Arabidopsis thaliana: one gene and its partner. The protein of the gene in region 2 interacts with the protein of the main gene of each other region in a pairwise test. Each region holds a gene or a part of one and is shown on either strand. Other genes may lie near its edges.

Evidence for each region. Proteins that work in one complex are often made in the same cells at the same time.
Region 1: the proteins of TCP10 (region 2) and AT4G37180 interact in binary tests that used the Arabidopsis thaliana proteins (3 or more experiments, as listed by UniProt).

The regions. Positions count from the first base shown.
Region 1 is NC_003075.7:17,502,349-17,507,397, reverse strand, and holds AT4G37180 (Homeodomain-like superfamily protein), read right to left. Parts: upstream 2,835-5,049; 5' UTR 2,751-2,834; coding exon 2,525-2,750; intron 2,454-2,524; coding exon 2,272-2,453; intron 2,182-2,271; coding exon 1,866-2,181; intron 1,752-1,865; coding exon 1,675-1,751; coding exon of another isoform or gene 1,618-1,674; exon of another isoform or gene 1,582-1,617; coding exon 1,291-1,581; 3' UTR 894-1,290; downstream 1-893. Other genes in the region: AT4G37190 (plasma membrane, autoregulation-binding site, misato segment II, myosin-like, tubulin/FtsZ protein), read right to left, coding at 1-11, 172-243.
Region 2 is NC_003071.7:13,219,286-13,224,564, forward strand, and holds TCP10 (TCP domain protein 10), read right to left. Parts: upstream 3,325-5,279; 5' UTR 2,785-3,324; coding exon 1,699-2,784; 3' UTR 1,693-1,698; intron 1,578-1,692; 3' UTR 1,193-1,577; downstream 1-1,192. UniProt on the Arabidopsis thaliana protein: Plays a pivotal role in the control of morphogenesis of shoot organs by negatively regulating the expression of boundary-specific genes such as CUC genes, probably through the induction of miRNA (e.g. miR164). Participates in ovule development.

The DNA.
Region 1 (5,049 bases), on a different chromosome or scaffold from region 2:
AGCAATTCATCCTACATTTCAAGTAAAAGTTCTCAACTTTAGCAAACCCAATCGATTTATAGCAAAAAAGACAAACACTTTTGTAATGAAAAACAGAGACAGACAAAACCCAGAATCCATTGTTAAAAGAATCGGAGCAGAGAGTTCAACAGGAGGTTTTGCTTCTCTAACCTGGAAATTCCAAAAGTGAGAGCCAACAAAGTTTGCGAATTCTCCAACTTGAATCGTCACAATTTCTCTCATGGTTGTTTGATTGGAGACTTGAAAGAAACTAAGCAAAAGGTCGGTTCTTAGCTCACAGCGTAAGAGACTAAGAGCTCCGGTGATTGCTTAAACCCTCGTCGAGCCTAGATTTGTAAAAGAGTTTGAGAATGTTGATGAAGACGGAGAGGCGGCCCCGTGAGGCCCAGAGACCACAAAACCACATAAATTGACTCGAAATAACCGGGTGAATAAACCGGTTGGGTTTAGAAACTGAATCGACCGAACCAATTTGAACAAATATTCCATTGCCGCTTAAATGTCTTTAGTATATACACTCATTAATTGTGAAAAGCAGAGAGTAACTATTTGAATTTTTGAATAAAAATAACAAATTTGAAGAAAATTATGTCAAAAGATAAATATCTACCCTATACTATTGGCTAATGTATGTTACATGGTGCAAGAAGCTTTATCCACAAAACATGCAAATCTCGTGGAAGTAAACTATTCATCAAATCACTAATCAGTGAGTAGATTTTTTCTATATACATTGTCAATTCCTTCAATAGTGAAAATAAATCTTGTCGTTTTTCAGACGAAAAATCTTATCTTTTCGTACGATTTTATGCAATAAAAGATTCTTATTTTTTTTCCCCTTACTTATTCTCTCAGATTACGTAGATTTGTAGAAAACGATGAGTTACAGAAAGAGACAAAGATTGTGATGTTTCTTCATCCTCTGTTTTCGAAGGTAAAAGGTAATTAGTATGACGAGCTGGTAAAACTAAACAAATGACTCCTTCATTCACATGGTTGAGACTGTAATAAGTATAAAAACAAAATCTTTGATATATGAGTTTATCTTACTTATGAAGTAAAAAAAAAAAAAAAAAAAAAACACAGAGGATTTCGAACACTCTTCTCTATCTATTTCCTCTTGCAAAAACAAACCCTACTTTTTGCTCAAAATCCTCTTCCTTATTTCAACTCTCATGTTTACATCTACAAAAACTCCCGAACAAACTCAAAGTTTTGAGCATATATAACATAAGTTGGTAAAGATTATATCATTCACTATGCAGACTTTCAAAGCTCAAGATCCAACACTTGTCTCTTCTTCTTTGTTTCATCATTTCTACAGCTACTACGTCCATCAGACTTCTCCTCCTCTTCATCCTCCTCCTCCTCATCTTCCTCTGAGCTATGACCAACATTACTACTGAACAACCCTCTTGCAACAAGTGGGCTTTGTGGCGAATCCGACCTCGACAAACTTATTAAGCTCTGCGATTCTCTCTCTAACACACCTGGCTGATCCGACGATGACAAAGTCTTTGTCGGATGCAGCGGATGCTTACGGATATGCATTCTATATTTCTGCAATAACAATTTCATTTCACCGCACTGTCAAAATCATTCATTCATCCACACATCAAAGTTTAAGTTACTGTAAAAGATGAGAACTTTTACTTGTAAATGGCTCTTGACTTCATCATTGGTTAAACCATCAACTTTCATCAAATCTCTAATCTGCTTTGGTGTAGCAACTGTCTCACAACAACAACAACAACAACAACAACAACAATACAAAACAATCTCAGTATAATCAATCAATCAAATCTAAAGCAAAGTTTGATCCTTTACTAAGGTTAAGGACTAACCTTGTGGCCCTCCAAGCCTATGAAGAGCATCAACAAATTTACGGTGAAGTTCCTGTGACCATCTCCTTCTCTGCTCTTTCTTCTGAATGTGATGACTCTGTGAAGAAGGTTTATTGAATTGATGATGATGATGACTCTGCTCAATTCTGCTATAATCCATCATCATCTCTGATGTTGGAGTCATGAGAGACAGAGGAGCTGGTGGTGGAGGAGGTGGGGGACGGTTAAATGGCATAAATACCCCTCCTTGATTAGGGTAATTACATGTCTGAAATGGGTTCTGACTCACACACCGATCTTCTTCTTCTTCATTTGTCTGTCAAAACATGATCATAAGGTCAACAAGATCAATCACACAACATATGATTCTTCACAAAACATAAAAAGGGTTGCTTTTTGATCGTACCGATCGGAATTGGGAATTAGGGTTCGAGATCCATAACTGGGCAGAGCTCATCCAGCTCTTCTTATCAGTTTCCGGTTTTGCCCTTTCAACATCATCGAATTTCCCATTAGATGCCATCAGTGATAACCCTTTTCTAGCCTCATCCTTCAACGCCCCAATCGCTACACAGAGAAAAACAATCTCTTTAAACAAAAACACGAATCGATTAGAGAAGATAAAAAAAAGAAAAGGAGAGAATTTTAATAAAAGATACCTTCGTTCAATAAGAGCATGCATAAAGGGAGTTCTCGTTTAAAAACATCGATTTTGTTCCTTTCTTCCTCTAATTTTCCGACATAACCATCGATTTCAGACAGTTTGGAATGATTGTCTTTGATCCTCGACACTTCATCGAGAAATTGAGATAAGGGTTTTGGTAAAGAGTAGATAGACAAATTCAGATTAAGACCCATCCTTTGATCGGTTTCTGTTTGAACCATCGGACAAGATAAAGACAAAGAGAAGCAAGCTTAAAGAGGTATATATAGAAGAAGATGATGAAGATGCTGAAGAAGATAAATGAGAACAAAAAAAAAATGAGATTAGGGAAGAAGAAGAAGGACGCGGTGAACCGTAGCCGCTGTAAATAAGTGGAGACTTGAGGGTGTTTTTGTCAATATTAAAATTAGATTTATCTTTAAATGGAAGAAAGAATCTTTTTGTGATGCCCGTACACACGCGGCGAATCGTTACACTCACTTATATATATTTATTCTTCTCTTTTTTTATATTTTTCTTTAAGGATTTTTTTCCTTTTAATTCGGCTATTAATTATATTACAATTTTCAGTTTTGGGAAACTTGTTATTTATTTTGTTTTTAGTGCTCTTCTCATTCAAGATTCTCATATTCCTGTTATCCTGTATTTAATATTTTCCCAAATTAGTCTTAAAAAGAGGATTCTGAAGAATCTATAATATTTTACAAACACTATTTTCTGCATATGGAGTGGTTCAGGCTGTGAAATATCCCACTAAAATATTTATTAAAGATAATATAAAAAGAATCTGTTGAAAGACTAAAAATAAAATAAAGCAACTCAATTATTGGATAAAAAATTAAAAATAAGGAATTAACAAAATCAAACTATAACTAAGAAAGATCAAATTTATTTGTACAAAATTAACAATTTTCTACTTTTTTAAAGAAAAATCAAATTTTATTTTCCTACTTTAACAATTAAAAGTAGATAAGTTACACTTTTTTGGAGTAAAAAATTACGTTTGAAATAAAGAAGATTTAGACTACAACAAATATTGACTTTTTATAACCTAAATGTTATGAGCTTGAAAGTTATACATTTATAGTCAACATGATATGAGATTAAATGTTGAATATAAAAAAGGTATGTACCACATAGTACATGTAGCACATCGTCAGAAATAACTTTGCTAGACCAACAATACCGAATGGGCATAACCGTGTATGGCCTATGGGCTATGGATTCATGTATTTGTTATTGTATCTCAAACACAGAGCTATACTGAAATCTCGGTTTCATGGAATTCGAACCACTCGTTTAAAAACCGATAAAACATTCAAACTATACAATCGGGTTTAATTAAACGATGTTCTTAGATAGGCAAAACCACATGTACGTTTATGCAAGTAGTACGATACATAAATTCGTACTTCAGTTTGTACTACTATCATATAACTAGACTAAATTAGTAGAGCCGTATAAATAATTAATCTTTACTAGTATAGGACATATTCGCTTTAGTTTATCTTTTCGAATAGAAAAATTATACTAAATTTTGCTAAATTTTACTAAAAAATTATACTAAACATTTTACCCGGAAAAAAATTATACTAAATTTTGCTAACACAAGCTACTAGCTGTATTAGAAATCGACACATACGTATGTGATTTTAAAAGAGTGAAGTGGTCAAAAGATCTCTTTGTCTTTTCTTTATTTTTACCACACGCAACGTCCATTTACATTCACGGTGAGCATTAGTTTCAAGAAATCACGTAACCTTTGTGTTTATAAGTGCCCTTTTCATGGTTTAGTTGGTTTTGGTTATCGTATTATGAATATTTTTGTTCATTTCAGTGTTGATATTCTTTTCAAGAAACTAGGTTGATCATTCTTATGTAGCACCATTATTTCTTGCAAATTATTCCACTACTCATCCATTTTTTTTACTAATCAAAACTTATATCGTTCAAAAGGTGAATTATACTTAATATTATTATATGAAATAAAACTCAAGAATTCTCTAGCAAAATGAGAAAAAAGGATCTTTCGCATAATCCAATGTAAAAGATCCCAGTACGCAAAGCTACTTTATTCCATGCTTTTTCCTGCTAGCCAAATACAAATTTCTTTCAATTTTAAAATAGCATTCAATTTTTTCAAAATAACATTTGATTCCTCTAACAAAAAGATATTCCGAAACACAGTAGCATGTAAAATGCCTAGGACCTATAAACAATAAAGACCACAAGGAATCTAACGGACGGACCAAAAGAAACGGCTCACTGTTAGCCAACTATACCAGGACACGTGTCCAACTAATCCAGATTCTTTATCATGAGAATCGTTTTTTTCTTTCAAGGAGGAACTGAAACGTCTCGACTTTGTTTGTAATAAAGACGTCGAGATTTTGATGCCGTTGATTGATTAGATTCTCGATCGTGGGTTCGCGACACGTGTCCCTAACTTTTTTTGTATTATTGTTCTTAACAAACGATGGCTTTTGCTCTGTCTAGCTAATTTGAGGATAAGGTTCTTCT
Region 2 (5,279 bases):
GGTAAACAAGGTCAATTCTCATATGCACCAAGGGACATATAGTTCATAAGATTGTTTGTTTCTTAAAGGAAGCATTGGACAAAGCTTGTTTTTACTTTGCTGCTCTAGACCTATATATTTGAGGTTTCACTGCTTATGACTAGGCAAGTTATCCACAATTTCGTATGTACTATGTATCTTGGATTTTATGTTCAATGAAAATTCATCCATTTCATTGTCTATCAAAGCTAAATACAAAGTTATGGCTCTTGGAATTTGTGAACATGTTTGGATTGCCTATATTATGTAAATATATATTTTGGTTTTATATTATGTAAATATATAAAGCATGCTTCTTATGCTCTCTCTGTGTACTCTACAGTGACAACACTTTAGCTCTTCATATTGCTCGGAATCTTATTTTCACGAAAAAAACTAAACACAGAGACATATATTTTCATATTGTTTGGCGTATCCGATATAGTTTTATGAAGGGTGTTTGATTTTGATTGTACCGGTTTGCTCTACCGCATTCCTGTCTGTTGGTTTAGGTTTGTTGGGTTACACTTACATATAGTACAATCCTTTTGTAACAAAACTGTAGATGGAAGTTGTAATCCTTTTGTTGAACTCTTCTAATAATCCAAGCACAATCCATAATCAAAAGGCCAAAGTAGTCATTCTCGCAGTAGATGACTTTTAAAAGTACGAACATTCTGTAGCTTTTAACGTCTTGTATAAAAATGATGATCATCGTTGGGAAAAATATTAATGATCATCATGTGACAACAAAGTACAAACTCCTTTAACCTAAATATATTATCATGTATTTCATCAAACCAAATATATGTACATATATATATACTATATGTAAAAGTGCCAAAAAGTGATAAATGTCATTCTCTATATAGCCCGCCTATCTATATGACTAAAACAATTATTTCAAGATGAATTATAGAAAAATCTTCTGTCAAACCCAATTAGACCAAGTAAAGCAGACTAAACTATCGAGATCCTTTGGTATCACTGTCACAAAGCATTGAATACTCAATAGCAACTTTTTCATAAAAATCCCAAATTTGTAATAAATTTGACTTTTCTATTAAATAGTCGCAACTTTTTAGCAAGCTAAGCTATATTACAAAAGAAAATTGGTATCTGCACAGATGATAATGAACACCTTTTTCTTCATTACTCATGTAATACGACCTATGCTTTTAACGTTCTTCAATTACTCTTTACTTAACCGAAGAAATAGAAACCGCAAGTAAAAACCAGAAAATTCAAACTCACTCGTAGAACAAAAATATGAGATTACAATATCCCAGCCTAACGCCAGTACTAAACCAAAACACACATAAAACCCATCTTTTCAAATATCACAATCTTGATGATCAATGCAAAGATGATAAGAAACAAACAAGCAAAATTGAATAATAATAACAAACACTAAATGAGTAATAATAGTCTTGAATCATAAATATATGGATAGATGGTAATACTAATTAATATAGCGCTTACTCTAGCTCCATTCATCACATTAATTTCCTCCTTCTTGTTCAATGCATGTCATCATGAATTTGAACCTCCATGGTTGTCTGAAAGAAATACATGTGGTAATTTAATTATGAAAGATTTAATTATTGTCTGGTTTCTTGATTAATAACCTATTATACTTAAAATATATAAATACATTAAAAAGAAGAAGCAAACCTTAGTTTAGAGGTGTGAGTTTGGAGGAGAAGAAGAAGAGTTTGGTTGAGTAGCTTCTTCTCCGTGGAGTAGTCTTGTAGTGTTGGGGAAACTAAGGCCTTGCATCATCATCATCCCATGAGAACCATACTGTGATGATGAAGCAAACATCGAAGAAGCTTGATTCTGATGATGATGATGATCCGACGTCGTTTGATGATGATCCCAAGAACGAAACGAATGAGGGAATAAACTGGACTGAAGGGTACCCCTTTGTTGTTGTTGTTGTTGGCCACCAAGAAACACTTGTTGTTGCTGACTATTAAGCAATGTCATCATCGACGGTTGATGATGATGATGGTGAGGATGATGATTCACCATGAAACCACCATTACTCCTTTCTTCTTGTTCTTGTTGTTGATGTTCTGATGAGGATGATGACGTCATAGTTAAGTCGTGATGATTCCATCCAGAGATTCTCCCGAACGTGTCGAAATGAGTCGTGGTGAAATTGTTGGTCTCGGGAACTACGACTGTGTTGTTGTTCCCTTGAAATGGGTGAAGAGAGAGACCAAGATCTTGGCTAAGGTTTGGTGGTGGTGTTGTTGTTCTTGAGACCATGTTGTTGTCATCCTGATGAGGGTAGTTTTGGAAATTGATGTTTGTACCACCACCACCGTTTGTTGTTGTCGTCGCCGGGAAAAACGTTTTCATTGCGTCTTCAGGATCAAGATTGGCCGCCACGAACTGCGTTTGGTCATTGTTCTCTCTTTGGAAAACCAAAGTGGGAGATTCCGGTTTAGTATTCACCGGTTCTTGACGAGTAGTAGTAGTAGTAGTCTCCCCGAGTTCAAGCTTATCAATAGCGGTTTTGGCTTTCTTGATGAGCCAATCAACGGCTTTGCTAGGCCGGTCATAACCTAACCGGTCTTGCACATCGTAGAATTGAATCGCCGTGTGAGCTGAGAGTCTCACGCGCCGGTCACGTGGACCCTTTGATGTGAACACTTTGCTATGACGGTCTTTGCGTCCAGTGGCTCGGATTATGTGACCGCCTTGAACCTCAACTATCTCTCCTCCTCCTTCTCCGACGCTATATCCTTTAAGTCCCATTATTTTTTTACCTTTCAAAATGACATTCCAAGAGTTGTTTTAACTTGGAAGAAAAACTTGCGTGCCGTTTTTGTTGCCCACTTGCTTTGTTTACCTCTTCAAAATGCTTGCCGTTTTGTTGTTATTGTGGTGTTTGGTGTGTAGTGAGTTAATAACATCTGATGCAGGCTGGACACAGCTACCTGAAAGCTGCTACAAGAAGCAACTCTTCTATGCAGATCCCCAAAAGATCTGCCATGGCAGTCACAAGATTCAATGACCCAACATACCCAAATCAAAAAAGGGAAAAAATGAAGAAATATTTAGAAGAAAAGAGATTGGAATCTTTAGTCTAGGGTTTTCCCAAAGAGATGAGAATTTGGACAACAAAATTGATATTAAAAATAAAAGAGCGAGAGAGAGAGAGAGAGAGAGAGAGAGATGCTACTTTAATATATTGATATGTTTAGTTGGTCTAAAATCGAAGGACAAGAAGAAGAAGAGGAAAAAAAAGAGAGAGAGTATACTATTAGATTGTTGGTGGAAAGGATAGCAGAAGTTAAGGGTTCAGAATAGGAAAGTAAACTAAATAAATACCCTTTTGCTTTCAACCTTTTGTTCCTTATTATAAGATTCCTATTTCACATATCAACATGTGTCCTTGTTAAGTTCTTAGCCACATATTTGTTTATTTCAAATTTTTTTGTTACAGAAAAATTCCTCAATCATTATTCTTCAATCATGCGTGCCATATCGAATTCTTGAAACATACATAACTATATATATCATATAATAAGGAATATAGGAAAATTGAAAAACATCAATAAATGAACATATATCATATCTTAGTTACACCAATTTGTAATATTTTGTTTGGTTAATGTCAAATCCTCCTTCACTAATTAATTAAAACTTGAAAAGCATATGTTTCACACAACATACACACACATTGGTCGGCTTAGGATTACATGCTAATCAAAGTCGACAATGGAATAATTTGACTCTAGTATGATTTTTTTTTTTGGTAAGCTGAGGGGTGGCAATTGCCTACCCCAATTTATTAAGAACAAACTACAAAAAATTACAATAAAACAGCTCGAGGGAACTCTGTTCCATTAACATCTGCGAGCAAAAGTAAACGGACTCCCTCTGGGCATGCATCAAAACAATGAAGCCCTAGCGGCAAGGTAAAGGCATAGTTTGCTAACCCGTCAGCGAGACGGTTAGCTTCCCTATACACGTGTGACACACGGACTAACCAGTCCCTCGTAAAGAAGCCTTGGCACAACCGTACCAGGAAGGACAGCGGATGAGCGTTGCTTACCCCTGTGCTTAAAAAACCCACCACCAACTTGCAATCCAAGTCTAACTCCACTCGTCGAAACCCCTTGTCCCACGCAATGAGCAGCCCATAGTAGGCGCCCCATAACTCGGCTAATGGCGCTGCACAAGATCCAATGTTTAGTGCAAAACCACCTAGCCACTCCCCCTGCCCATTCCGGATGGCCCCTCCTGCCGCAGCCAGCCCGTGATTCCCACGGGACGCTCCATCCGTGGTAATTTTCACCCACCCATCGCTTGGAACCTGCCACCTGATCATTCTTTCCACCCGCACACCATTAGGCCGGTTACCAACAGCACCAACATGTACTCTCCTCACCTCCTCCGCCATGTCTTTGATGAACTTCAGCCTGTCCCGACAAATCTTTCGTTCCCCAAACACATCACAACACCTCCACTTCCAAGCCCACCAAATTCCCATACCAAAAAGAGTAGGCCAAATCCCCTTTACTGGATCCATATTTGTAAATAACCACTCCAATAAAGACTGGCTAAAAAACTCATGATGTCGTCTCAGTGGCAGCAACCGACGCCAAATCGGTTCCATAGCGGGGCAGTCACGCAACACATGGAGTATTGTTTCCTCGGCTCCATTACACACCGAACATATAGCATTCTCACTCAAATGGCGCCGGACTCTCTCCACATTAGTCATGATCACATTCTGGCTCACCAACCAAATAAACACCCGTACTCTCTCAGGCGTGATCAGCTTCCAGATTCTGTTAAAGAAGCTCCCCATATTCGGCCTGTCTCCAACGTCACCTTGTAGGAGGGAATACGCAGAGCGGACTGTGAAGGCCCCATCCTGTGTACCCTTCCATGATATCTCGTCTCCATTACCCAGAAAAACCTGAACCACAACCGAGAGCAACCGCCTCTTAACTGTCTCTGGCAGATACAAACCCAGAATTTCCAGGTTCCAACCTGATCCCGGCAACCAATAATCGGCTGCCACCTTTATTCTCTCCCCCTCCGGTATCATATCAGTCCCAAGCTCCACCAACGGCTCCTGCAACAGCCAGCGATCCAACCAGAACCTTATTGTGCACCCATCTCCAGGCACCCATCCAACGCCCTTAACCACCACTTCCCGGAGCCCTACTGCCACACTTCTCCACGTGGAGGACCATCTTGGTTGTGGTTTCAGCCAGCTAGTATCTTGTACTCCACCC